3 linked regions of the Struthio camelus genome follow. The protein of the gene in region 1 interacts with the protein of each later gene in a pairwise test. Links are inferred from orthologs where the notes say so. Each region holds a gene or a part of one and is shown on either strand. Other genes may lie near its edges.

Region 1 (7,435 bases):
CGAGGGGTGCGGGGGGGGGCCAGGTGAGGTGCAGGCGGCCGGCAGCGCGTCCCCGCCGAGGACACCTGCCCGGCCGGCCGGTCCGGCTGGCTCAGCACCACTCAGCAGCTCTGGCCCAGGACTGCTGCGCAATCAAAGGCGGCATGAAGGAAAGGTCAGCACCATCGCTGCATGGCGCAGCTGGGGAAACTGAGGCACGGAGCAACGCAGGGAGAGCCCCAGGGAGTGCGCACAGGGTCCCTCACCTCTCAGCACATGCCGACACGGACCGCGTAGCCCGAAACCCCCCGGCTTCGCCCCCCTGCTCCCGACAAGCAGCACGTACCGTGGGGTCCCAGGCAGGCGTGCTGCAGTAGCCGTCGCTCCTCTCGCAGGGCTGGCCGGCGTAGCGGGCGGCCGAGGAAGGCACGGCGGGGCTGTGCGAGTCGGCGGGGAGGCCGCCACGGCCGCTTTTCCTCCCGTAGGTCTCCAGGTAGTCGTGGACGTAGTCGGAGCGCACGGCCGCCTGGTAGAGGGTGCAGAGCTCCTGGCGGGTGCGGGCGGCCGGCGGGCCGTGGGTGGGCGCGTAGCCGCTGTCCGAGGCGTGCAGCCCCGAAAACTCCCGCGCCAGGTCCGAGTGGCTGGTGGATTTCCGGCGGCTGAGGGGCGCCGGGGCGGGCGCGTAGCCCGGGGGGCTGCCAGGGGGCCCCGCCAAGGCATAGCACGCGCCGCCGCTCAGCCCCCCGCCGCCGGGCGGCCGGGGCTGGCTGCGGATGTACGCGGGGCTCAGGCGGACGCCGGAGTCGGGGTACAGGGCAAGGCGGCCGGCGTCGTAGCCGCTGGTGGGGGACAGCCCCGCGTGGTGGTAGCGGGGGGAGGCCAGGTAGCTGGCGGAGGGGCTGGTTTTGAAGCCGATTTTGTCCCTGTCGGCGTAGGACGTGGCCAAGGTGGAGCCATAGGAGGAGGAGTAGGAGCTGTAAGCGGCGGGCACCTTGCCGTAGGTGGTCTCGGCGTAGCGGGACGCGTCGACGTACCGCTTCAGGGTGGAGGAGAGCTGGGACATGCTGCAGGCTGGGGCTCAGCAGGCGCCGCTGGAGGCATCGACTGCAAGAGAAGAGGTGTCCCCGCTACCTCCTGCAAACGGCAGGCAGCTCCCGGGCCACGGTCACGGCGGTCCTCGCTCGCCCCCCGCCCGCGGCCCTCCCCGGCCCCTGGACGCCCCCCGCGCCGGGGGCCCGGCAGCCCGCCCCGCGGCCCTGCCGCCTGCCTCCCTTCGACACCTCGGGCCGAGGCGAACCCTCGTGGCCAGGCAGCTGCCGTGGCCCCCGCCAGCCGGGCAGCCCCTAAGGGTGGGTGGCAGCCCAGCTCGGACCCCGCAGCACCCGCCGGCTTCTCCCCAGCCGGCAGGAGAGGGGCAAAGCGGGGGCAGGTAGGCATGCAGGAGCCTGCAGCGAACTGGGAGCCAGCCCCGAGCTCTGCAAACACGGAGGGGTAGAGCAGGGGGAGAGGGGGGGCTGGTGGGGAAGCCCCCCGCCCCGGGATGGGGGAAAGAGGGGCTCCGCCTGCCCCTGCTCGCAGCCCCACGAGGCAGGGGGGCAGCAAGCTCCCCTGGGGCTGCCCCGGGCGCCAGGGCGCACGGCCGGCCGGGGACAACCCCCCAGCCCGCCAACGAGGGCTGTCCGGAGCCGATGGCTCCGGCACCGATGCTCTCGGGGCAGGGGCAGGTGGCGGGTCCCCTACCTGTCCCGGGGGCTGGGGCTGGCACCGGGGCGGGCAGGCAGCCCCAGCCGGGCTCCCCCGGGTACCCGGCGTCCCGTCCCTGGCAGGACGGTGGCTCCTGCGGCTCGGAGAGTCTCCAGTCACCAGGGAGATGACCCTGATTCAGAGCGTTTTTCCCAGCCCAGCCTGGGCGGGCTCTGGCCCGGGCTGGCCCCGCTCCAAGCGTCAGCCGCCCTGGGGGGGGACGGAGCCGGGCACCCTGCCCTGCCTTGCCCTGCCCGGCCCTCTCGCAGCCCCCGGCGGCCCGCGGGGCGCAGCCAGCCGTGGGGACCGGCACCGCGCGCCTGGTGCAAGGGAAGGAGCCGCCGCAAAACCACTCCCTGCCCGAGCCTGGGAGGGACCCCGGCGTCCTGCCCAGGGTGAGACCCCCGGAGACCCCAGGCAAGCGCTGGCTGCAGCCCTTACCCCGACGGGACCCCCCGTGGGTGCCGCCCCAGGGTGCCTGCCCCTGCCCTGGGCACGGGGAGCGCGTGCCCTGCATTTTCCACTGGCGGCCGGGTGAAACCGATCCGCGTGAAACCGGAGTCGGCGGCGGGGAGGGCTGCGCTGCGCCTCGCGGCCGGGCGCCCGCGGAGGGGGCTGCGGCCCTCAGCTCCCGTGGGCCCCCCCCCCCGTCCCTGCTCACCCCGGCGCGGAGGTGGCCCCGGCGGTGCTTTAGCAAACTGTGGTGAGGAGCGCGGTCCGGCCGCCGTGGCCTCCTGGCCGCCAGCCCAGCTTTGTGGCCGGCCGGCCGCGTCCCGGTTGCTGTTGTTATTGCTGTCCCACAGCGGAGAGGAAACTGCTCGCAAGCAAGAGCAAGCTGGAGCGCACAGACCTGTTTGGGAACGGAGGGGTGAATAATCCGCTTCCAGGCAAATACTCCGGCGAAACACCCGGCGCTTCCCTGCCAGGCCCTGGCCGCCCTTGCCAGCGCTGGGAGGGCCCAGGAGCTGCTTTGCCAGCTGGGATTCGGTACGCGCAGTGGGGAACTGCGCTGGGAGGGACACGGCGCCCTCGGCTCCCCCAAAACCCTCCTGGCCGGGGCAGGGAGCAGCCGAGCACCGAGAGGCTCCGCGCGCCGCCCCGCTCCCGGTGCGCCCGGCCGAGGCGCCACGGCCCCGGGCTCGGGACGGACGCCTGGGTGCCGGCACAGCCCTGCCCGCAGCAGCCTGTCCTACCCCCGCCACCCAGCCTGGCTGGCTGCTCTGAGACCCGTCGTGCCCCCGCCACCGCCGGCAGCGCCTCGCCCGGGTACCCAGCCGCCGGGAGAGACGCTCGCCCCGGCGCCCAGCGCGGCAGGTGCTTTCTGGCAGCGGGACGGGGCAGCAGACCGGGGGGCAAGCCCGCGGCGGGGTGTGGGGCCGGCAGCGGGAACGGCGCCCGCGTGCGGGTGCTAAACCCGTCGGCGTTATAGGACGGGAGCGATCTTACCGTGTGGGACCGCCGCCGTCTACCACGACCGCCTGCCCCGCGCGGTGCCCGCCTCACGCCGTGCCGGGCGCCAGGGCTGCCGGAGACGGGGAGCGTGCCATGAGCCGGAGGAGCTGAGGGGGTGTGAGAAAACCCCGGTTCCTCCCATTGCTTCCTGGCCCGCGTGGCCCCTCCCTGCCCACAATAACGCTGAGCTTTCCTCCCGCCTGGCACAGCCCCGGGGCCGGCACCGCTGACTCAGGCCTCCCGCACCCTCATTATCCTCCTTGGGCGTCCGGCGAAGCTGAGGCACAGGAACGTCCGGTCCGTCATCACACGGCCGGGCGGCACAGCGGGGCCCAGGAGTCCGGGCGCCGCAGGGGCTGCTCTCCCTGCTGGGGAAGCCTCCCCCAGCCTCCGGCGCCAGCCTCCAGCTCTGGCCGGCCTTCCCGAGGGACGGCAGCAACGGGAAAACTCCAGGCTGGGATAACATCGGGGCAAAGCCTTCACCCCGGAGGCAGAGGAGCGGGGAAGGATGCTGCCCGGACACCCTGCGCCCTCCCCAGCCACTGTCCTCCACCCAGGACCTCGAGCCCCTGGCCCTGGCCAAGGCCGTGACCCCTCCGCGGCCCGTGAAGGACCCGGGCAGGCTCAGCTTACACAGCCCCGGCTGGGTCCAAGGGGTTACAGCACAGCTGCTCCTCGCTTACGCAGGCTTGGAGCTGTGTCTGCCCCCCCGAGACACGATGTCCCAGCCTGGAGGTTACTCGGGGAGCAATCTCTGGGACGGCGGGGGCAGAGGGGACGGCCCTGCGTGGCTTGGGGTGGAGGGGCCCCACATGCACGTCCCGATGGTGCCGTAGGGGTCAGGGCAGCCCCCGGCCCGTTCCCCAGGGGGATGAGGCCAGGCACAGCTGCGTTTCCCGCGGGGAAGGGTAGCCCCGAGCAGCCCCGGCTGCAATGTGCTCCAGCGGGTTTGCTCCCGCGAGAGGCCTGCGTCACCCGCGCGAAGCCCTTCGGCAGCAGATAAAGAGACCTCAGAGCCCTGGGGCGCTGCCGGCAGCCCTGCTCCAGCCCCGGCGTCCAGCGCACGGGTGCCACCGCGGCTGCGGAGCTCCCCCGTGCCGCTGGCGCTCGCCCCCAAGGCTAAGGCACCCGACAGGGTCACGGGTGCTGCCGGGGATGAGCCCAGCCAAGGCCCTTCCTGCAGCAAAGGCATCCCCTAGCAGGCACAGGGCCTGAGAACCTGCCAGCTCGTTTCACGTGCTGGCTGGGAGTCATTGGCCGGGATTCGCGCTGTGCCGCTGACGCATACCCACCTGGCTGCAAAACCTGCTGCTCATCCCTCCTGCTGGGCCACCCCCCCAGGCAGTAAAACCCCAAGCCCACGGGGAACCCTGACGTAAGACCCAGCACACGTTATTGCTTTGAGGTCTGCGGGTGGAAAAAAAGAAGGGACCCCAGGGAGGTGTCCCGAGCGCCCGGCTCCGCCAGCCCTCGGCGATGAAGAGGGTGCCGGGGGGCAGAGAGCTGCCGGGTTTTCACGCGTGAACTCTGAACCCGGCCAGCCCTCCGGAGGCGAAGCAGTCGGCAACCTCTCCCCGCGGTTTTACCCAACCAGAGGTAGGGGGGCAGAGTTTTGCCAAGTCCTCCCGGCGATTTTGCAGCCTCCCCTCCCACCTTGTCGTGCGGCCCCGGCCCCGGGGCAGATGCCGGGGCTGGCGTCCCCGCGGCGGTCCCGTGGCTCACCTGCGCGTGGGTCGGCTGGGCGGACGGCCAGCGGCTGCTCACGGGGGCTGTGCCGGCATGGCTGCGGGCAAGCGGCCGGTCGTGGGGTACGGCCCGCGGGGCTCGGCGGGGGGAGCCGATCCTGCCTCCCCGGGCGCTTCCTCTGGGGCCGGAGCAGAGCAAGCGATGCAGAGGGGGCCGGCAGCGCCCGACCTGTTTGCAGGCGGACGGGCCGCCCCGCAGCTCGGCTCCTCCACCCTCCAGGCGCTGGGCGAAGTGGCCCGAGGGGGCTGTGCCGGAGGGCCGCGAGGCCGCGTAAAAACGCCACGGCAGAAATTCACGGCTCAGGTTACCGGCTAGATAAATATAGTGTCTTTATCTGACCTCACAGGGCGCCGAAATGCTCCTCTCGCATTCCAGCTTCGGGAAGGCTTAAAGGGGACGTGAGCCCGGGGGGGCTGGTGGCCCACGGCAAGGGGCTGCTAGCAGGGGAGGCCAAGAGGGGAGCTGGGGCAGGGGCGAGGAGGGCTGCAGAAACGGGGCAGGACGCCTGGGGGTGAGTGTGGGGAGAGGTTTGGGGAGGGAGGGGAGCTCCAGGGGAGAAAGGAGGGGCAGAGAAGGAAGAGGGGTGCCCCTGGCTGCCGGGGGGGGGTCTGGAGCAGAGCAGCAAGGTGATGGGAGGAGATGTTCTGGGTTTTGCTCCTCTTGGGGCAAGCAGTGGGGAGAAGAGCCTCCCCCAGGCCCACAGTAAAGGCGGGAGCGGGGGGACCCGGCGGTGGGGGGGGCACCTGGCCCTGGCCCTGCGCCCCAAGCCCGGCGTGCCCAGGGCGGCGTGGGGCGCCCCACGCGCCCGCACCCCGGTGGGCCGGGGTGACTCAGTGAGCACCTGCTGCGGATGATGAGGCGGGATGCAATCACGCTGGCGTGTTCCTCCCTCCTGGCCGCCCCAGGGAAGCGTCGGGGCCGGGGCATGACGCCGGGAGGCTGCTACGGGCTCCCCGGCCGTACTAGGGGCTGGTGGCAGGGCCCTGCTCCCAAACTGTATTTCCCAAGCGTGTTTCTCGGCCCAACCGGGCAGCACCTCGACCCGGAGCGGGGAGCGCTACGCCGCTGCTGCCCGGCTCCTTCGGAGGGTGCCAGGCACCGTGGGCAGAGCGCGTCAGCAGGCACGCAGGTGGGGGACCCTGGCGTGACGCGCGCGCCGCCCCGGGGCCGGCACCTCTGGGACGCGCGTGCACGCCCCGCCGCCCTCCCACGCGCGCCGGCGGCCTCGGCGCCAGCCGTTCCCTCCCCGGAGGACGTGCCCCGAGGGCTGGCCCCCACCCTGCTTTGCAGCCCTGGGCGGACGGGATGGAGAGGCCCCCTCGGACCCGGCCCGGGAGGATGACGCAGCCCCGGGGTGCCCAGCCGGACCTACCCCGCTTCGCCCGTGTCCCGGCGGCGCTGAGCGCCGGAGCCCCGGCCCCGAGCTCACAATGGGGCCCGGAGCCCGGACCAGGGCGCTGGGGGCCCCGCTGCGGGCAGGTCGCCCTCCCCGGGGGAGGCAAGGCTGGTGCTGACCCCACTTCTTGCCCACGGGGTTTGGGCTGTGGAGGTCCCGGGGCCAGGACCCCCCCCCCAACCCGCCCCCCGCCTGCGAGCACGAGCTGCCCCTTCCCTCCCTCCCTGCACCCCACAGACACGCGGCTCCGGCACACGACCTAGGGTTTTATTGTGCAGACAGAGGGAAACTCTTGAAGGATGGGTTTTCTTGTTGTTGCTTCTGGTAGGGGTTTCTCTTTCCCCCCCCTCCCCACTCCACCCCCTGCCCTTTAACAAAGTGTCTTTTAGGACAAGCTGTGGGAACAACTACAGATGCTCACAGAAGAAATGAGCCTGGAGATGCACCGGCGCGCTGTGGGCTGGGCTCGGCGCCTGCCGCGGCGCTCACCAGCGAGCCCGGCGGCACCACGCGGCAAGCAAGCAGGCAGGGGACCGGGGACCGGGCAAGGGGGCAGCTCGCCGTGCCCAGGGCAAAGCCAGGAGCGATCGCCAGCCACTGTGAATTGCTCTCCGCTATGTCGGCGTGGCCTGGGCCGCAGGGAAAGGTGGCCGGGGGCCGGGGCTCACGCTGCCCGACCCCAGCTCCGGGCGCCCGCACCTCCCTCTGCCCCGGGACCCGTCCCTCTGCTGCGCGAGGGTGCCACCGCGCTGTCCCTCCGCATCGCCGGGCCCAGGGCTGCTCTCCTCTCCCTGCCCCGCTCTCGGGAACGTCCTGGCCTCGCTCAAGCGGTGGCCAAAAGCTGGGCTGCCCTTAAGCCCTTTTCTGCTCTTCAGTGGGCACAGGGGAAATGCCCAAGGAGAGGGAGGGAGCGGGGGGCGGAGAAGGGAGGGGGCACGTGGGCTTCTCGCAGCGCCTGGCGTGGCTGGACCCCGGAGGAAGACTGCCCTGGAGGAAGGCTGCTGAGCCTCCCCTGAGGGAGCCCGGGGCCAGGCCGGGGATGTGTGCACGGAGGAGGGATTAGGACCTTCAGCCGTTTCCTACGGTCCCCTCAGGCAGGATGGGGAGACATGCAGAGAA
Region 2 (8,414 bases), on another chromosome or scaffold:
CGGGGCAGTCGGGCAGGTAGGCCACCCGCGTGGTGCCCGGGTACCGCACGCCCGGGTTGGGGTGCTCCACCTGCGAGGCGTCGGGCCGACACGGGGCGTCAGGCGCGGGGGTGCCCCCAGGGGGGCACCCAGAGGGATTGGGGTTACACCCAAGGGTGCTTGGCCAGGCTGGGCTTAGCTCCGTGGCACCAGAGCAGGGTCGGGGACACCCCCCAAAGTCGCAGCGTGACCAAAGGTGAACATCTGGCGTCAGGGGCACCCAGATGGGTTGGCGTAGCTGGGTGCCAGGGCACGCAGCCGCTTTTGGGGACGCACAACCAGACTAGGGTGCCCAAGCGGCAGCGGTGCAGAACCAGGTGGAGGTGCCCAGCAAGCTTTGGGGATGCCCAGTAGCACCACGGCCACAGAACAGGACAGGTGACACCCTACCAACTTGGGATGCCCCCATTGCTGGGGGCACAGGGGACACCTCGCCAGCCCGGGGTGCCCGGTGCCCAGCCGACGCGGGGTGAGGGGGCACGCGCTGTCTTACCCCTTGGACGCCGGGTGGGAAGACGTACTGGATGATGATGGTGCCGAACTTCTCGTAGCCGGGGAGCAGGAGGCTGGAGTCCTTGGTGACCAGCATGCGCCCGTTCTGGGGCTGGTTGCCCACCAGCTGCCCGTAGAAGCGCCCGCACATGGGGCAAGCGGTCTTCACCTGGAGCGCCCGCGTGATGCAATCCTCGCAGAACGAGTGTCGGCACTTCTCCAGCGTCTTCATGTTCTGGATCTCGCCCAGGCAGATGGGACACTGCCGGTCGGGTTCCTCGTCCCGCGAGCACCCCGGCGCCCCGCCGGCGCGCCCCCCGCCGCCCGCCGGTCCCCGGGCCCCAAGCCCGGGCCCGCTCTTGTCCAGCAGGGCCACGCAGCCCACCACCTCCCCGTGGCGCTGGGCCTTCTTCAGCTCCTTCTCCGTCTCCTTGAGCAGGGCCTTGAGGGCCTTGCGGGCCAGGTAGAGGCCGTTGGCGGTGCCCGGGACGGGCGTGCAGAGCTGAAGCACGTAGATGTCGGAGGTCTCGCCGTCCACCAGGATGCTCACCTTGGTCTCCTCCTTGAGCCGGGCCAGCTTGGCCGGGCTCTCCTTGGTCAAGAAGTCCCACACCCGCTTGGACACCGTCAACTTGTTCTTAGTGGCCCCCCCGCACGCCGCCATCCTGGACAGGACAAACGACACTGGGGGGGGCCCAGGCCCATGGTGTCAGAGCCTGTCGGGCGTGGGGTTCACCGCGAGGTGCCACAGCCCCCTCCCGCACGATGTCCCCAGCCTGCTCCTTCCTTATGGTGTCCCTCCATAGGCCTCCTCCCAGACCGTGATGCTTCCTCAACAGGCACCGGGTGCCCCCAGCCCTGTGGTACCCCCCGCTGGACCCTCCCCAGGGGGGATGGGATGGGATGGGATGGGACATGTCCCAGGTGCCACCTAGGTGGCACCGAGGCCTCTCAAGGACCCGCAAGCTGAGGGGATGTCGCAGGAAGGGGCAGGGGGTTGGGGTCTGGGGGCACCCTCGTGCCCAGCCCGCAGGAGCACCCAGGAGTCCAGGTTCTTGCCCTGCCCAAGGTGGGGGGGGGGGTCCCAGGGCCCAAAGGGGGGGGCAGCAGCACCCACCTGGTGAGCCCATGGGGGACAGCACGAGCCCGAAACACCAGCAGAGCCGTGATCAGCGGAGCCACGAGCCACGGACTGGGAGGGACACAGGGTCACACTGTGCCCCCCTCCCCTGGATCTTGTCCCCAAGTCCCACCCCCCAGCATGTGGGCCCCCCGGAAGGGCTCGCTGCCCCCTCCCCCGAGGGGGGTATGGGGGACACTGCTCTGCCCCCCCAACTCCCAGCCCCACTGAACCCCCTAAAGAGAAAATATCCCCCCCCCAGGTGCTAATCCCCATCAGGAGACCCTACAACAACAACCACGGCAGCGTAATCCATCCTACGCCCCCCACCCCCGCGGTGTCCCCAGGAGACCCTACAACAACAAACAGCCCGAAACGCCGGGCCCAGCACAGCGCCACCCCCGGGAACAGAGGGGCTGGGGGGGCCAGGTACGGCCTCCTCGGTGCCCCCCGCTCTCCAGACCCCACTGCTCGATGGGGTGGGGGGGGCACCAAACCCCTGGAGGACCCCAGGATGGGGGGGGGGGAAAGGGGTTGTTCACCTGCCCCTATTCCCCCCCGCCCAGGGGCCCCACTGCTGGGGGGGGCCGTAGAGAGGCTGTAGCCCCCCCCCCCCAGTTATGGGGGTCACCCCCCAGCACTGCCAGGGGAGGTGGCATGCAGGGGACAGGGATCACCGGGGGGGGGGGACACAGCCAGGGGACAGGACAGGAGCCGGAGGGGGGGCAGGATGGGGAGAGATATGGGGGGGGGGACGGGATGGCGACAAGGGGGGTGAGATGGGGCCGAGCTGGGACAGGACAGGTCGGGGGGGGTGGGCAAGGGGGGGGTCAGGCTGGGCCAGGGGAAGGGAGGGGGAAGAGATGAGGAGGGACAGGATGGGGGGGCAGGACGGGGCCCCGGGGGAGGGGGGAAAGGAAGGGTATGAGGGGGAAGTAAATGGGGGGGGCAAGGTGAGGCCTTGGGGGGGGCAGGATGGGGGTGAGGGGGGCAAGATGGGGCGGGGGGGGAGGAATAAGATAGGGCCCGGAAATTAGGGGTGGGAGGGGGAGAAGCCAGGCCTAACCAAGCCCCGGGGAGGGGGTGTCATGCTGGGGGGGGGGGGGCCCGGCCGGACCCGGGGACAGCGACGACAACGACGCCGGTGGGGGGGGGGGGAGAGGCTGGGCCCGGCCCTACCCGTTACCGGGAAGGAAATGAAGCTGGGCCGGGCCCTGCCCGTTCCCGAGGGGAGGGAGGGAGGGGGGGGGCAGGACGGGGCCCCCCCCGCGGCGGACCCACCATAGCCGGGAGGCCGGAGCATGGCGGGGGCGGCGCGGCCCGGAGCGGTGCGGCGGCGGCGGCGGCTGGCGGCGGCCGGGAGGGGGGGGGTGGGGGGGGGGAAAGGGTTGGGGGGGGGGAGGCTCTTCGCGGAGCCGCCGCACATCACGTGGGCGCGCGGGGCGGGGCGCCGCCGCCATGGCAACGAGGGCGGGGCCCATGGCGACGGCGCTGGGCGGTGTGCGGGGGGGGGAGAAGGGGCGGGGCGCGGCCTGGTACCGGCGGACGCAGCGGGGCGGGACAGGTCCCGCTCGGCGCCCGTCGCCATGGCAACGGAGCATCATGGCAACGGGGGGGGGGGCACGGGTATCGGGGTCCCGGTAACCGGGCACGGAGGGGCGGGGGAGGGGAGCGAACTGGGAGTCCCGGTAATGGGGTGCAGCACGTTGGTAAGGTGGGGGGGGCTCAGTACCGAGATAGAGCCTGGCTGTTGGGGGGGGGGGTCCCAATAACAGGACACAGCCTGGGGAAGGGGGGGGGGTCCTGGTAACAGGACACAGCTGAGGGAAAGGGGGGGGGTTCCAGTAATGGGGGCAGAGCCAGAGAAAGGGGGGCATCCTCATAATGAGGAGGGGGTCCCAGTAACGGGACACAGCCTAGGGAAGGGGGGGGGTCCCGGTAACGGGGGCAGAGCCTGGAGAAGGAGGGGGGGGGGTCCCGGTAACAGGGGCAGAGCCTGGGCTGGTTCAATAATTTATTTCTTAGGATACAGTGCTGGAGAGCAGCCCCCCCCCCATTACCCCCCCAGCACGGCAGGGTCCCCCGTGCAGTGTGTGTGGTGTGGGGGGGGGGCAGGAACAGGTCCCAGGACCCCGCTGATAACGGGGGGGGGGGCAACCCCACACTGTGACCCCACTTGTAACAGGGAGAGGGCCATGCCTCCCCCAGCCCCACTCCTACTGGGGGCGGGGGGGCCCACAGGCTCGCCATCCTCCCCCCCCAGACCAGACCCATAATGGGGGAAGGGGGGGGCTACTCCCGGGACACCCCCAGGACTGTCAGTGAAACACAGGGACACCCCCCCCAAAGGAACAGCCCTTTTTGGGGGGGTGGAGGAACCTCCTACCCCCCCACAGGAGGAGACACCCCACTAGCCCCAGGGCAAGTAGTGTTCAATTGCCCCCCCCCCGAGCATGGGGGGAGGTAGAAGCAATGCAGCCCCATGTGTGGGGGGCAGCCCCCAGCTTATTGCATAGGGCAGGGCTGGACCCCCCCACCCCACCCCACGGTAAAATAAGGCACTTGAATAGCAGCCCCCCACCTCCACCGGGCACCAACGGTGGGGGGGAGGAGCTGCCCCGCTCGCAGGCGGGGTGGGGGGCACCGTGCCTGGGGCGAAGGTCGGGGGGGGGGCCAGCTCAGCCCCGGGCCCCCCCCCATCTACGCGAAGATGTTGGTGATGAAGTCGAGGAAGCGCTTGGCGTACTGTTCGGGATGCACCGTGGAGATCTCAGCCCCCGCCTGCGGGAGAGCACAGGATATTGGGGGGGGGGGGGGGTCAGACCCTGCCCCAAACCTCCCCAGACCCTCCAAGGGCCCCCCCCCCCCCAAAAAAAAAGGAGGCCATCCTCTTCCTCGGGCTCACCCCGTGCTTGACGGTCTTGGCAGCGTGGGCGGCCTTCTTGCGGGCGTCGTACTGCGTGAGGACGTCGATGAGCCCCATGAAGTACACCTCCTTGCGGGGGCCACCTGGGGTGGGAGGGGGAAGCAGGCGAGGAGAGGGGTGGGTGAGCCCCACACCCACCTCTTCGGCCTGCCCCCCCCCCCCCCCCAAGCACCCAATGCCCCGCTCACCCTCGGCGCTCCGGATAGCGTAGACGTCCACATAGGGGTCGAACTCGCCGGGGCCCAGCGGCCGGTGGGAGTTGAGGTAGCTGCCGATGCCCTCCGGGGAGGTGCCGTAGGAGCCCACGATGGCGGCCCCCGCCTCGTCGCCCCCGCCTTCCTCCTCTTCCACCTCCTCTTCCTCCTCCTGCTCTGCCCGCGCCACGTCGTGGATGCCCAGCAGCAGGCTGTAGTCCATGATCTTCAGCTGCACCAGGAACTGGCGACACGGGGGAGATCACAGGAAGGGACATGGAGAACCCCTGGCCGGCAGCCGGTTTTTGGGAGGGGGGTACCAACCCTCGTGACTGCCCTAGTGAGAGGTGGCCACCCCCTCCCCAAACACCCAGCCCCTGTCCGGGCACCACGGCTCTGGCCTGGAGCCCCCTCACCCACCTCCACATCTCTCTTGAGCTTCTCCATGAAGTCCTTCTTGTCCTCCTCGCCCACGTAGACCTTCTCGTTCTTGTTCAGGAAGTCCATGTCCTTCAGTGTGGGCAAGTCTTTGCCCTGTGGCGAGACGAACATGTGGGACGGGCCCCTGCGGTCCCACTATGGCTGTGGGGAGCCCCCTCCCCACTCCAAGAAACCAGTGGGGTCCTCCCCGCCCTGATGGGGGACCCTGGAGGCTCACGGATAACAGGGACTCCCTGGGGACGAGCGTGGTGGCACCTTGCCTCCACGGTTCCTCAGGAGGTTGCAGGGATCAGCTCTCCCTCCACAGCTGCAGCCTCATCGTTAAGTGGAGGCTGGGGACAGGCTGATAACGAGCCTGGGACTGCCCCGGTTCCCCCTCCCCAGGCTGGAGGCTCCCAGCACCATCCTGCCCACGTCACTGTGCCGTGGTACCTTCTCCTTGTCGCTGGCTTCACGGGACACAAGGGAGCCCTGGAGGAAAAGCAGAAGCTGTGTTAGGCTGGGGGGAAAAATCAGCGCTCCTGGCAGAGGGGACAAAGGAGGGGACAACAGAGTTGGTTAAATCCACCCAGGGATGGAGAGCATGGAGAAGCAGGAGGCATGGATGACCCAAGGACACGGGCTGATTTGGGGGCTCTGTCTCAGCTCCAAGCCTCTAGCAGCTTTAGGGGGGGCCCCCGTGGCAGGACAGCAAGGCTGGGGCGATGGGGTGGGCGCCCCGTTACCTTGAGGTCGTACTTCCTGTGCACGGAGAGCCGGTGGCTGAACATGTTCCTCATGACGAGCAGGTAGGTCTCCTCACTGTCCACGCTCACCCGGTACATGCCCAGGAACCGGGGCAGCAGCGTGGTCCCGTGACACTTCACGATGTACTGCGGGGAGACGTGGGTGCCATCAGGGCCCTCGGGTGACCCTGGCGTTCCTCGCTGCCCGGCCACCGCGCCCCCGTACCTGGTGGTAGTGGGACAGGAGGCTGTGGACGTCGGCCACGTCCTCGCTCGACAGCTCCTTCACCACCAACGTGCGGTCGTAGGACAGCAGGAACCGCCGGTCGCTGCCCTCAGAGTGGGGCGGGCTCCGCGTCAGCGAGACCTGGGCAGGACGGGCGTCAGGCAGGGCCGGGGCGACGCCGGCGCGGCCCCGAACGCCACCACCGCACCGTGGACCCACCTGGTAGTCCTGGTCGTCGATGCCGAAGCGCTCCCGGAGGTTGCGGAAGACCTGGGGACAGTACTCCTTGAACTTGAAATGACTGGGCAGGTTCTCCCTGCGGGTGGAGGTCACCAGCATGAGGACAAGGAGCTCCTCAGGGCAGCCGGGGGCTTCGTCCCCCCTTTCCGGAAGGTCTCCTGGCCCCGTTCGGGACCACCGCGGAGCTGCCACCCGGCCGTGCTCACCGGTTGAAGAGGTGGTTGTTGACTTTGATTTTGGAGCTGGCCTTAAAGTCGTCGGGCAGGAGCATGACGGGCAGCGGGACCTGGCTGAGCTCGCCGATCTGCGGGGCAGCGGGACGGGTGACGCCGGTCCCCCCCGCTGCGCAGGGCCACCCTCCGTGACCCCGCCGAGGAGCCCCCAGCAAGGACCCCAGTCCTCCCAGCGGGTGGGCACCGGCGCCCGCCGCATGGACGTGGCAAGCTGGGGCCGGGGGGCAGCTCGGGCAGGCGCTTGGATTAACGAGCGGGTTAATGAGTGGCGGCCGCAGGTGGCCGGGGGTTAGCGCCGTTACCGGGGGGCAGCAAGCGGCATGGTGGGGGGGGGGGGCACACGCCATGCGATGGGGCCCAGGGGCCACCCACCTCCTCCGGGGCTGTCCAGGGGGGCACTGCGTTGCCAGTCCGGGGGCTGCTACGGGGACAAATTGGGGGGGGGGATGGGGGGAGCCGTCAGTGCTGCTGGGGGGCACAGCCCCCCGGGGCAGCGTGAGGGGGCTTCCCACATCAGTGTCATCCCCCCAACTGGCAGGTGCTGGACCCCAGACCCCCAGGGGAGAAGGTCCCGGGGCCCCTACAGGGGATTGGGGGGTCCTATAGGAGGGTGTCTGGGGTCCCTACAGGGGATGGGGGTGGGGTCCCGGGGGGGTGTCTGGGGTCCCTATGGTGGATGGGGGGGCTCCATGGTTGGGGGTGCCTAGGCTCCCTACAGGGGATTGGGGGGCTCCTATAGGGGGGTGCCTGGGGTCCCTACAGGAGATGGGGGGCAGTCCCACAGCAAGGGTGTCTGGGGGTCCCTAAAGGCAATGGGGGAGGGGGCCCACGGCAGGGGTGTCTGGGGTCCCTACGGGGGATGGGGGGGGTCCCACGGCAGGGGTGTCTGGGGTCCCTACGGGGGATGGGGGGGGTCCCACGGCAGGGGTGTCTGGGGTCCCTACGGGGGATGGGGGGGGTCCCACGGCAGGGGTGTCTGGGGTCCCTACGGGGGATGGGGGGGTCCCACGGCAGGGGTGTCTGGGGTCCCTACGGGGGATGGGGGATCCCATAGGGGGTGTCCGGGGACCCTACCGGGGGTGGGGAGGGAGGGTCCCCACAGGGGTTGCCTGTGGTCCCTACGGGGGATGGGGGACCCCATGAGGGGGATGTCTGGGGTCCCTGCCGGGGAGCACAGGGGTGTCCCACAACGGCGGCGAGGTCCCGGGGAAAGGGGCTCCCGGTCCTTCCCCGTGGCGGGGCCCGGTCCGGTCCTGGGGGGAGGAAGAGGCGCCGGGGACGGGTCGCAGCGGTGCCCCGGGGGGCCCCGCTCCCGTCCCGGCGATGCCCCGGGAAGGAGCCCCGCGATGGCGGCGGCCCCGGTGGGGGGGGGGGGGGTCCCGTGGCCGGTGCCGGCGGCCGGTGCTGCCCCACGGGAAGGCCCTGGGGGCGGGGAGGGGGGGGGGCCGGTCCCGGGGAGGGCCGGTCCCGCCCTCACCTGGTGGTTCACGCCCCAGGCCAGCACGGCCAGCAGCGGGTCGGCGGCCCGCGGCACCTTCACCCGCTGCGGCACGAACCGCTTCTGCTTCTTCTTGGTCTTGGTGCGCGGCCCCGCCGGCCCCGCCGCCGCCATGGCCGCCGCTTCCGCCCGCCTTCCGCCCGCCCCGCCGCGGCGCCGGAAGTGGCCTCGCGTCACCGCGTGCGTCACCGCGTGCGTCACCGCGCAGCGCCCCCTCCCACACACGCACTCCGCCCGCGCAGGCGCGTTGCGCCGCTGTCCCCCCTTCCCCCCCCCGTCC
Region 3 (7,407 bases), on another chromosome or scaffold:
CTCACTTCTCCCCAGCCAACATCTACCCGGACTACACCGAGTCCGGCGCGGACCTCCTGGCCAGGGAGAGCCGGGAGATGGGAGCGGCGGCAGACGCCAGGCTCAGTACCGACAGGCCAGGGGAGAGAGACAGAGGGGTGGAGAGGGAAAAGGAGGAGGAGGAGGAGGAGGAAGAGGAAGAAAAAGAAGCGGAGAAGCCGAAGGGGGACGGCGCGGAAGGGGAGATGGGAGCCCCGGAGCGGCCGGGCTCCTCCGAGCTGCGCAGGCCCAGCATCGTGCGGATGAACCCCAAGCCGCGGGAGACGGAGGAAGACATCGTGGACCTGGACTCCTTCAGCGAGCAGCACTTCAAGAGCAAGGCGCTGCGGGCGGCGGCGGCCGGCAGGCGACGGCGACTCACCAAGAGGGACACCATCCCCCTGCACCTGGCGCCCGGCGGCCCCCAGGACTTCGACTACGCGGCGGGCTGGGAGCGCCCGCGGAAGCGGGACCTGGGCTCGTGGCGGCAGGGGGGCGACCCGGGCGAGGAAGAGGAGGCCGGCGCCGGCTTGCGAAGGAGCCAGTGGTTCCGCGTGCTGGGTCTCGGCTTCTCCCGCGTGGACATCAGCCTGTGCATCGTGCTCTACTTCCTCTCCTCCATGTGCCTGCTGGGCATGTACACCTTCTTCCGCCTCCGCATGCGCTCCCGCAAGGGCCGCCCGGGCTTCCCCATGGCCTGAGCCGGAGCGGGGCGCCGGGGGCATGGCGGGGGGCGAGGGGTTCTCCTCCCCGGCCCGGCGCCTGCTCGGCTCGCAGGTGGGACGGCGTTGAGGCCAGTTTTGTAGCGGAAGGGGAAAGGTTTTGCTGCTTCCTCGCCAGGAGCTGCCCCGCTTGCGGCAGCCGCGTCTTCCGAGGCCCCCGGGTTTGGGAACCAGCTCAGCTCACCCTGGCGGGAGGGCGAATTTGGGGGTGGGCGGGGGGGGGAGGTATCAGAAGAGCAGCGCCTCGGCTTGGCGCGCCGCGTTTGGGGGCACCCCGCTCGCTGGGCGCGGCATCGCCGGCGGGGGCCGGGGTCTCCCCACCGAGCAGCCTGCGGAGCTCCTCGGCGCTGGGCTGGTCTCAAAGCGGGCGGAAGCTCGGGCCGGCGCGGCCGAGCAGCCCTTTGGGGTTAAACCACTAGCAGCGTTGGGGGCGCTTGGGAGGCTGCGGGGTGGGCCGGCCGGCCTCTGCGCTTCGCTTTCCCCGCGGCGGAGGGTGGCGGCAGCCCGCAAGGGGGGAAACCGTCCCCGCGCGCTCCCGGCTCGCTCCCTCGAAGGCCGAATCCTCCAGAGACGACCCGGGAGTGGCTTTGGGTGTTATCCCCTGCACCCTCCCGGGCAGGTGATGGAAAAGCCGTCGGTTTGGGCCGTGGTCAGCAGCGTGTTTCGTTTTCGTGCGGTAGCGGAATAAATTATTTTTGCCAACATCACTTCGGCTGTGGTGGCTCGTCCCTGCCGCGCGCTGTCCCGTCCCCTACGCGCGTCCCCGCCTGCCGCGGCGGGTGCCCGGCCCCCTTCCTCCCTGCCCTTTTATCCTTGTTACGAATCATTAAGGAAAATGGTTGTTTTGCAGAGCCGGGGCCGGGGCCATCTGCTCGCCCGGCGCTGCCTAAATCCCCCTGTAACAAATTCATTGGGATTACGCTGCCCTGCCCTAATCCCAGCCCTTCCCCCCAGCACGGGGGATTTAAAAAGGATTAGAGCCCGGCTGATAATAAACTTTATTAGGGGGGAGCAAGGGGAGGGGGGGGTCAATCCGATTTGGAGCCTTTTTCTTGATATCTTCACTTTGCCCAGGTGGGAGGAGAGGTGCCCTTAGCCGAGCCTTCGGCCGGCGGCTCCCGCCTGCGGGGCCGAGACCTGCCGGCAGCCGGCGGGCGGCCAGGCGCAGCCCGCGGGTGTGACGAGCGCGGGAGGTCTCTGCCGCTAGCGGAGCCCTGCTCGCCCGCCGGGCCGACGAGGGGGGTCTGAGCCCTTCCTTGGCCCGGCGGGGGAAACGGAGCGCCCGCGGCTAATTACCTAAATGGCCGCAGGCTGTTGAGAGACGCTCGCTATTCCCTAATAGCATTTGCCCTCGAGTGCAATTTAATTTTCTCCGAGGCCGGGCTGCAGCCCCCCCCCCCCACCCCCCCGCCCCGGGCGGGCGCCGGCCAGCGCTGCCTCCCGCCTCCCTCTTTCTTTCCCCTCTCGGCACGGGCGAGAGCATCTCTCCCCGGGCGCGCGGGGCGCCGCGGCTTCGGCGCCCGTCGGGCGACTGCTGCAAGGCGAGGGCCGGCGCCGGGGCGAGACCGTGTCTTGCGCCTCCGGTAAGCAGGGGAGTTGCCCCGTGTGGGAGTCGGTCGGTGCCGCTGCGGTGCCGACGGCGGGGTGGGCAGCGAAGGGCGGGCGGGCGTCCCCCTGCGAAAGGCTGGGGCGGGGGGGAAGCGGGGGGACAGCGAGGGTTTGGCGGCCTCCTGCACCCGGCGGGCTCGGGCGATCCTCCGCGGTCCCCGTCAGCGCCTTTGGCCGCGCAGGGCGAGACGCCAGGCTGAGACCTGGCAAACTCACTCCATGGGAGCCGCCATATTGCCGGCGTGGGCCGCCTGTCCAGAGCCCCAACGCCGCCCCGGGCCAGGGTGGGTTTTTGCTTGCAAACCCCTCCCTTCTGGCAAAGCAAAACCCGTGGGCAGCCGAAAAGTACAACAGCCAGAAAAAAGGAGACAAAGAAATTGGGGGGGGGGGAGATGCAAACGCCGGGGGAGCCGTGGCGAGCCGGGGAGCAGGACCGTCCTCGTCCTCGGTATCCAGCGGAAACCCCTCTTCCAGCGGTCGTTGCCGCGGGGCTCGGCTCCGCCGCGGCGAGCGATGCGGCCGGGGACGCGGGGGTCGGCCCCGACCTAGCACAGCGGAGAGACGAGTGAGGAGGGGGCTTCCCCGCGGAGCGGGGCGACGGGGCCGAGGCCGGCCGCGTCCCGGCCGTGCCGCGGGGAGCTGCTTTCCGGGCGAGACCGCCACCAGGCCCCGGCTGAAAGCCCGGGGAGACGTGTTAGTGCCGCGGGACTCACTCCTGTCATGAGTGCGCGCTGGTCTCTGCCCGAGCCGGGAGAGGTGCTGGCTGGGGTTTCGCTGGCAGAACGGGGCTTTGGGGTTAAAAGCCACCGGTTCGTTGAAAATGGTTTCTTGTTGAAACCGTCAGGCTTAATAAATGTCTCAGGTTGGGTTTAAAAAAAAAAAAAAAAAAAGACTTTTTTTGAAGTTGCTGAGAGCCCTCTTCGCCTTGCCGGAGGCCCCGTTTCAGGGCTTTCTGGTGGGAACCGCCTCTATTTGTTCATTTTGGCGCGGGAGCGAAGGCCGAAGCGCGCCGAAACGCCGTCAGGCTGCTCCGGCGCATCGGAGCCCCTTCCCCTGCCCCTCGGCGGTCAGTTTGTGAAACCATGAACCTGCTGAAACCGTGCGGTTCCCGACCTGCCCCGCCGCCGCCGGGCAGGAGGGCCGGCTCAGCCTTCGCGGGGCCGCTCCGCGCGCCCCCCCGGACCCCCGCGCCGCCGGCAGAGCCCCGCAGCCGCCCGCCCGCGTCCTGCCCGGCGCAGCCGTGGGGCAGACGCCCCCACGGGTTCCTCCTCCGCGCCGCTCCTGCCAGCCCGCTGCGCACCTCGCTTTCAGCTTACTGGCTTCTTTTTCCTTATTATTACTATTATTTTATTATTACTGTTGTTTTGAGCTCTGGGAGCAGGTTTGTCCTCGGGGAGCGGGCTCAGCCCCGGGTGCGGGATTTCAGGGCCGCCGCCGCCGCGCCTCGGGCCGTGCGCTCCCCGCAGCCCCTGTCGCGACAGCGCCTGTCGCGACAGCACCCTGCTCCCCCGCCCCGCCCCGCCCCCTTTTCTAGCCGCTGGGGGCGGGGCACCCGAAGATGCCACGCCCCTTCCCCGCAGGCCCCGCCCACTCGCCGGCTGCAAGCCCCGCCCCCGCCACGCTCCGGCGGCGCCCCGAGGCGCGGGCTGCCGGGGATTGGCTGCGGGGGGCGGCTCGCCCCGCCCCCCCCTGCGGGGCCGGTGACGTCAGGCGCGCTCCCCGCAGTGTGAATGAATCAAAGGCGGGCGGGCGGCTCGGCACGGCTCGGCACGGCTCGGCACGGCACGGCACGGCTCGGCACGGCACGGCACGGCTCGGCACGGCTCGGCACGGCTCGGCACGGCTCGGCACTGCCCGGCCCGGCCCGGCCCGGCTCAGCTCAGCGCTCGGGCGGGCAGAGCTGCGGCATCCCGGCCGCCGGGGCAGCCTGCGGGGCTGCGGGGCCGCCCGCCGCCCTTCCCTCGCCCCTGGGCTGGCTTCGGCCCCCGTGTGCGGAGGGGCGAGGAAAAGAGCCGGCTCCCTCGATTTTATTTCATTTGATTTGGTTTGATTTGATTTGATTCTCTTCTCCCCCCCACCCCGGTGCAATAAAATGATGCAAAGCTCAGCGCTGGCTGCCGAAGGGGCTGTCAAGGGGCTTCCAGAGATTCTTGGTGTGCCGATGCAACGTAAGGACGCTTTTCTCTTTTCCCCTCCTTCGGCTAATAATAAAGGAAACCGGGAGCCGCGGCGGAGCCGGGAAGGGCGGCGAGCGGCGAAAGCGGGGAGTGCGGGGCGGGCTGGGCCGGGGGCTGCTGGGCCCGGGCTTTGCCTGCGTGTGCTTTGGCCTTGGCTTTATTTTTTATTTTTTCCCCCCCTCTCCCCATGTCTAGCAGCGTTAGCAGACGTGAAGATAGGAGCGAGCGGTGGGGAGAGCAGCGCCCCGGGCAGCGCGGGGGGACGCGGCTGCGGGTGCCGGGGGGGGGCAGCCCCGCGGCGCGGTGACGGCCGGGCTCCCCCAGCCCCGACGGAGCGGTCGGCGTGTGTGTGTGTGTGTCTGTGTGTGTGTGTGTGTGTGCACGGCGCTGCGTGTGCAGGGCTGTGCGCAGGGGCAGCGGTGCCCCCCACCCGCCGCCGCGCGCCCCGAGCCCCGCTATGTCGTGTATCGCGATATGCGGAGCCTCGCACGCAGCGGGGCCGGGAAGGCGCCCGCGTGCGTGTGTGTGCGCGTTGCCTGCGTGGAGGGCCCGCTCCGCTCCCGCGCAGCACGTGTGTTAATATAGCTGTGTCTATACATACCAAAAAAGCATAGTGTAACGGATCACGTATAATCTATACAGATACGAGCAGCCTCTCCGTATGGAGACGCACGCGCGGGTGCGCTCTGCGTGGGTGTATCCATACATGTGCGAAGACACATGTATGCGTAGAGCACACGGACACGCACCCGCGCAGGATACACGCGCTGAGACACGGTGCGTGGGGGGTCCCTGATCGGGAGCCCGAGCCTCCCCCCCGGCTTTGGAGCCGGTGCCCGGGGCTCTCCGGCTCCCCCCGGCCCTGGGCGGCTTTAATTCGTTTTCGGTCTTTTTTAATTTTTGTTTTTTCCCAAGGACTCAAGCCGGTGCCACCCGCCTGCGCCAGCCCCGGCCCTGCCGCGGCGGCGAGCCGCTGCCCCCCGGTCCTCGCGTTCGTTCTTCCCTTGGCTGTATTTTCCCGGATTTACCCTTTTTTCGTTTCTGCTCTCTGCCCTAGATGGGTAAACACGCTTCTGAAACGGTATTTCTCTGCAGTAGAGAGGAGAGAAATTCCCCAACAGGGAAAGCGAGCCGAGCCGGGCAGGAGCACAGCCCGTGCCACCGCAGGGGCCGCAGAGGTCTGTCCCGCAGCCGACTCCGCGCCTTCCCTCCCGTCCCCTAATAAGACCTCGTGTGCAGAGCCGCAGAGTTACTTTTATGCCCCTGAAGCCTCATCGGCTCGACAAGAAATTAGGTGCCTAAGTCACCTCGGAGCAGCAACCACCCAGCAAAACTGCCATTTGCCCCCCCCCCCCCCCGAGTGCCAGCAGACTCTTCCCCATGACACTGCCATTTCCATAGGAACTGGTGCATTTCAGGGAGGAAATAACCGGCTTTTAAAAATTATTATTTATTTATTTAAGCACCAAAAAATACTGGCATAAACAAAATATGTGATGGGGGATGCTATGAAAGTTTTCCTTGCTGCCTATTTGGGAAAAGCTGTGTAATCCCCTTGCTGCTCCAGCACCCAGAGCCGTGCGGCCGCCGCACGCTTAGGGCCGTCAGTTCGCTATGGGAGGACGTGCTTCGGGCCCGATCCTGCACGGGTTGCACACGCGCACGGTGCCCCTGTGGCAGAGGGGGGGCTGCCCCCGGGCAGGGAAAGCCAGGGGAAATCCAGCTGCGCCAGCTGTGCCGGGGGCTGCTTTCCAGCAGCACCTCACGCCTGCAGCCCTGGGAGGTTAGCGAGCCCCTGCTATCCGAAATGCAGAAACAGCTCGAAGGCCTCTGCCTCGTGGCTGGGCGGCGAGTGAGGCTGCGCGTCCCTCCGCAGCCCGGGGTGCGTGGCCAGGGTCTGGGTCGCAGAGGCCGGGACGAAGGGCCGCGACGGCCGAGGGCTCGCTCGCTTTTGTTGTGATCCCCCTGCGCAGCGCTGGTGTGTGCGAGGGGAGAAAAACAGTTGGCATTTTTATTTCTAACGGCTATTAAATTGCAGGTTGCTCTCTGAGTTTAAACCACTGTTGAGCCTCCTTAACTTAGCGGGCACTGGGTCTTGTAGCATCAAGCTCGCCAAGAGGAGGGGAGCTGTGCCTGGGGAGCTGCCCCGCGATGAAGCTAGCTACAGCCCTGCTTTGGAGATATTATTAATAGTATTAATTATTATTACGGTTTTGCAAATCTTAGTTATGCAAAACTTCTGCCAAAGCCTGTGGGAACTGTGCCCGGGTATAGACAGCAGGAGCAACCTCTGTCCAAAGGTCTGGGGCGGGGGTGGGGGGGGGTTGATTAATTGGCACTGGGAAAGTCGTTTGCGTGCTGCGATGCAGCGAAACGGATTGGAGGTTTTTTCGCTTGTGAAGGAATGATCTTCTCCTCTTCCCCCCGAGCCGTTAGAGGAGCCCCTTGGCTGGTGCTTTTTGTCAGATCGCGCGTTTATGACAGCAGATTTCGGTGTGCGTGAGGGAAACAAAAGCGCTCCGGCCGCGCTGCGCTTGTGTGACACAGGAGTGTGTGCGTGGGTTTACGGAAAGCGTGCAGAAAGCAGGCGTGAGCCCGCTGCAGCGGCGCGGCGTGGGAGCGAGCGCGGCGGCGCAGCCGGGGCCGGCACGCGTGGGGCGGAACAGAAACGCCTTCGTGCCCCCCAAACGCAGCCTGGCGTCGGACCCGCGTTTGCAATGCACCAGCTCTGCCCCGCGTTCGTGCCTGCGGGTGACGATCCCTTCCACTTGAAAAATAAAAAAAATAAACGGGGGGGTCACTTGCAAACTTAGCGCGTGGGTCGGGTATTGCCCGGGCACGAGGGGACCGGCTGGGCGGTCTCCCAAAGCCGCCGGGGGATT

The links.
Region 2: the proteins of USP2 (region 1) and DTX3 interact in binary tests that used the Homo sapiens proteins (3 or more experiments, as listed by UniProt). The link is inferred for Struthio camelus from reciprocal best matches to the Homo sapiens genes USP2 and DTX3.
Region 3: the proteins of USP2 (region 1) and LHX4 interact in binary tests that used the Homo sapiens proteins (3 or more experiments, as listed by UniProt). The two-hybrid records come from large-scale screens. The link is inferred for Struthio camelus from reciprocal best matches to the Homo sapiens genes USP2 and LHX4.

Annotation. Positions count from the first base shown.
Region 1 is NC_090963.1:3,219,266-3,226,700, forward strand, and holds the start of USP2 (ubiquitin carboxyl-terminal hydrolase 2), read right to left. Parts: upstream 3,282-7,435; 5' UTR 3,169-3,281; intron 2,573-3,168; 5' UTR 2,384-2,572; intron 1,784-2,383; exon of another isoform or gene 1,720-1,783; intron 1,084-1,719; 5' UTR 1,043-1,083; coding exon 326-1,042; intron 1-325. UniProt on the Homo sapiens protein: Hydrolase that deubiquitinates polyubiquitinated target proteins such as MDM2, MDM4 and CCND1. Isoform 1 and isoform 4 possess both ubiquitin-specific peptidase and isopeptidase activities.
Region 2 is NC_090969.1:2,297,441-2,305,854, forward strand, and holds the start of DTX3 (probable E3 ubiquitin-protein ligase DTX3), read right to left. Parts: upstream 3,027-8,414; 5' UTR 2,933-3,026; intron 1,724-2,932; 5' UTR 1,662-1,723; coding exon 1,649-1,661; intron 1,216-1,648; coding exon 533-1,215; intron 71-532; coding exon 1-70. Other genes in the region: PIP4K2C (phosphatidylinositol 5-phosphate 4-kinase type-2 gamma), read right to left, coding at 4,352-4,432, 4,557-4,660, 4,766-5,015, 5,192-5,305, 5,645-5,683, 5,938-6,084, 6,164-6,304, 6,383-6,479 and 2 more. UniProt on the Homo sapiens protein: Regulator of Notch signaling, a signaling pathway involved in cell-cell communications that regulates a broad spectrum of cell-fate determinations.
Region 3 is NC_090949.1:6,654,319-6,661,725, forward strand, and holds the start of LHX4 (LIM/homeobox protein Lhx4), read left to right. Parts: upstream 1-4,078; coding exon 4,079-4,215; intron 4,216-4,248; coding exon 4,249-4,263; intron 4,264-4,409; coding exon 4,410-4,516; intron 4,517-7,407. Other genes in the region: QSOX1 (sulfhydryl oxidase 1), read left to right, coding at 1-719. UniProt on the Homo sapiens protein: May play a critical role in the development of respiratory control mechanisms and in the normal growth and maturation of the lung. Binds preferentially to methylated DNA.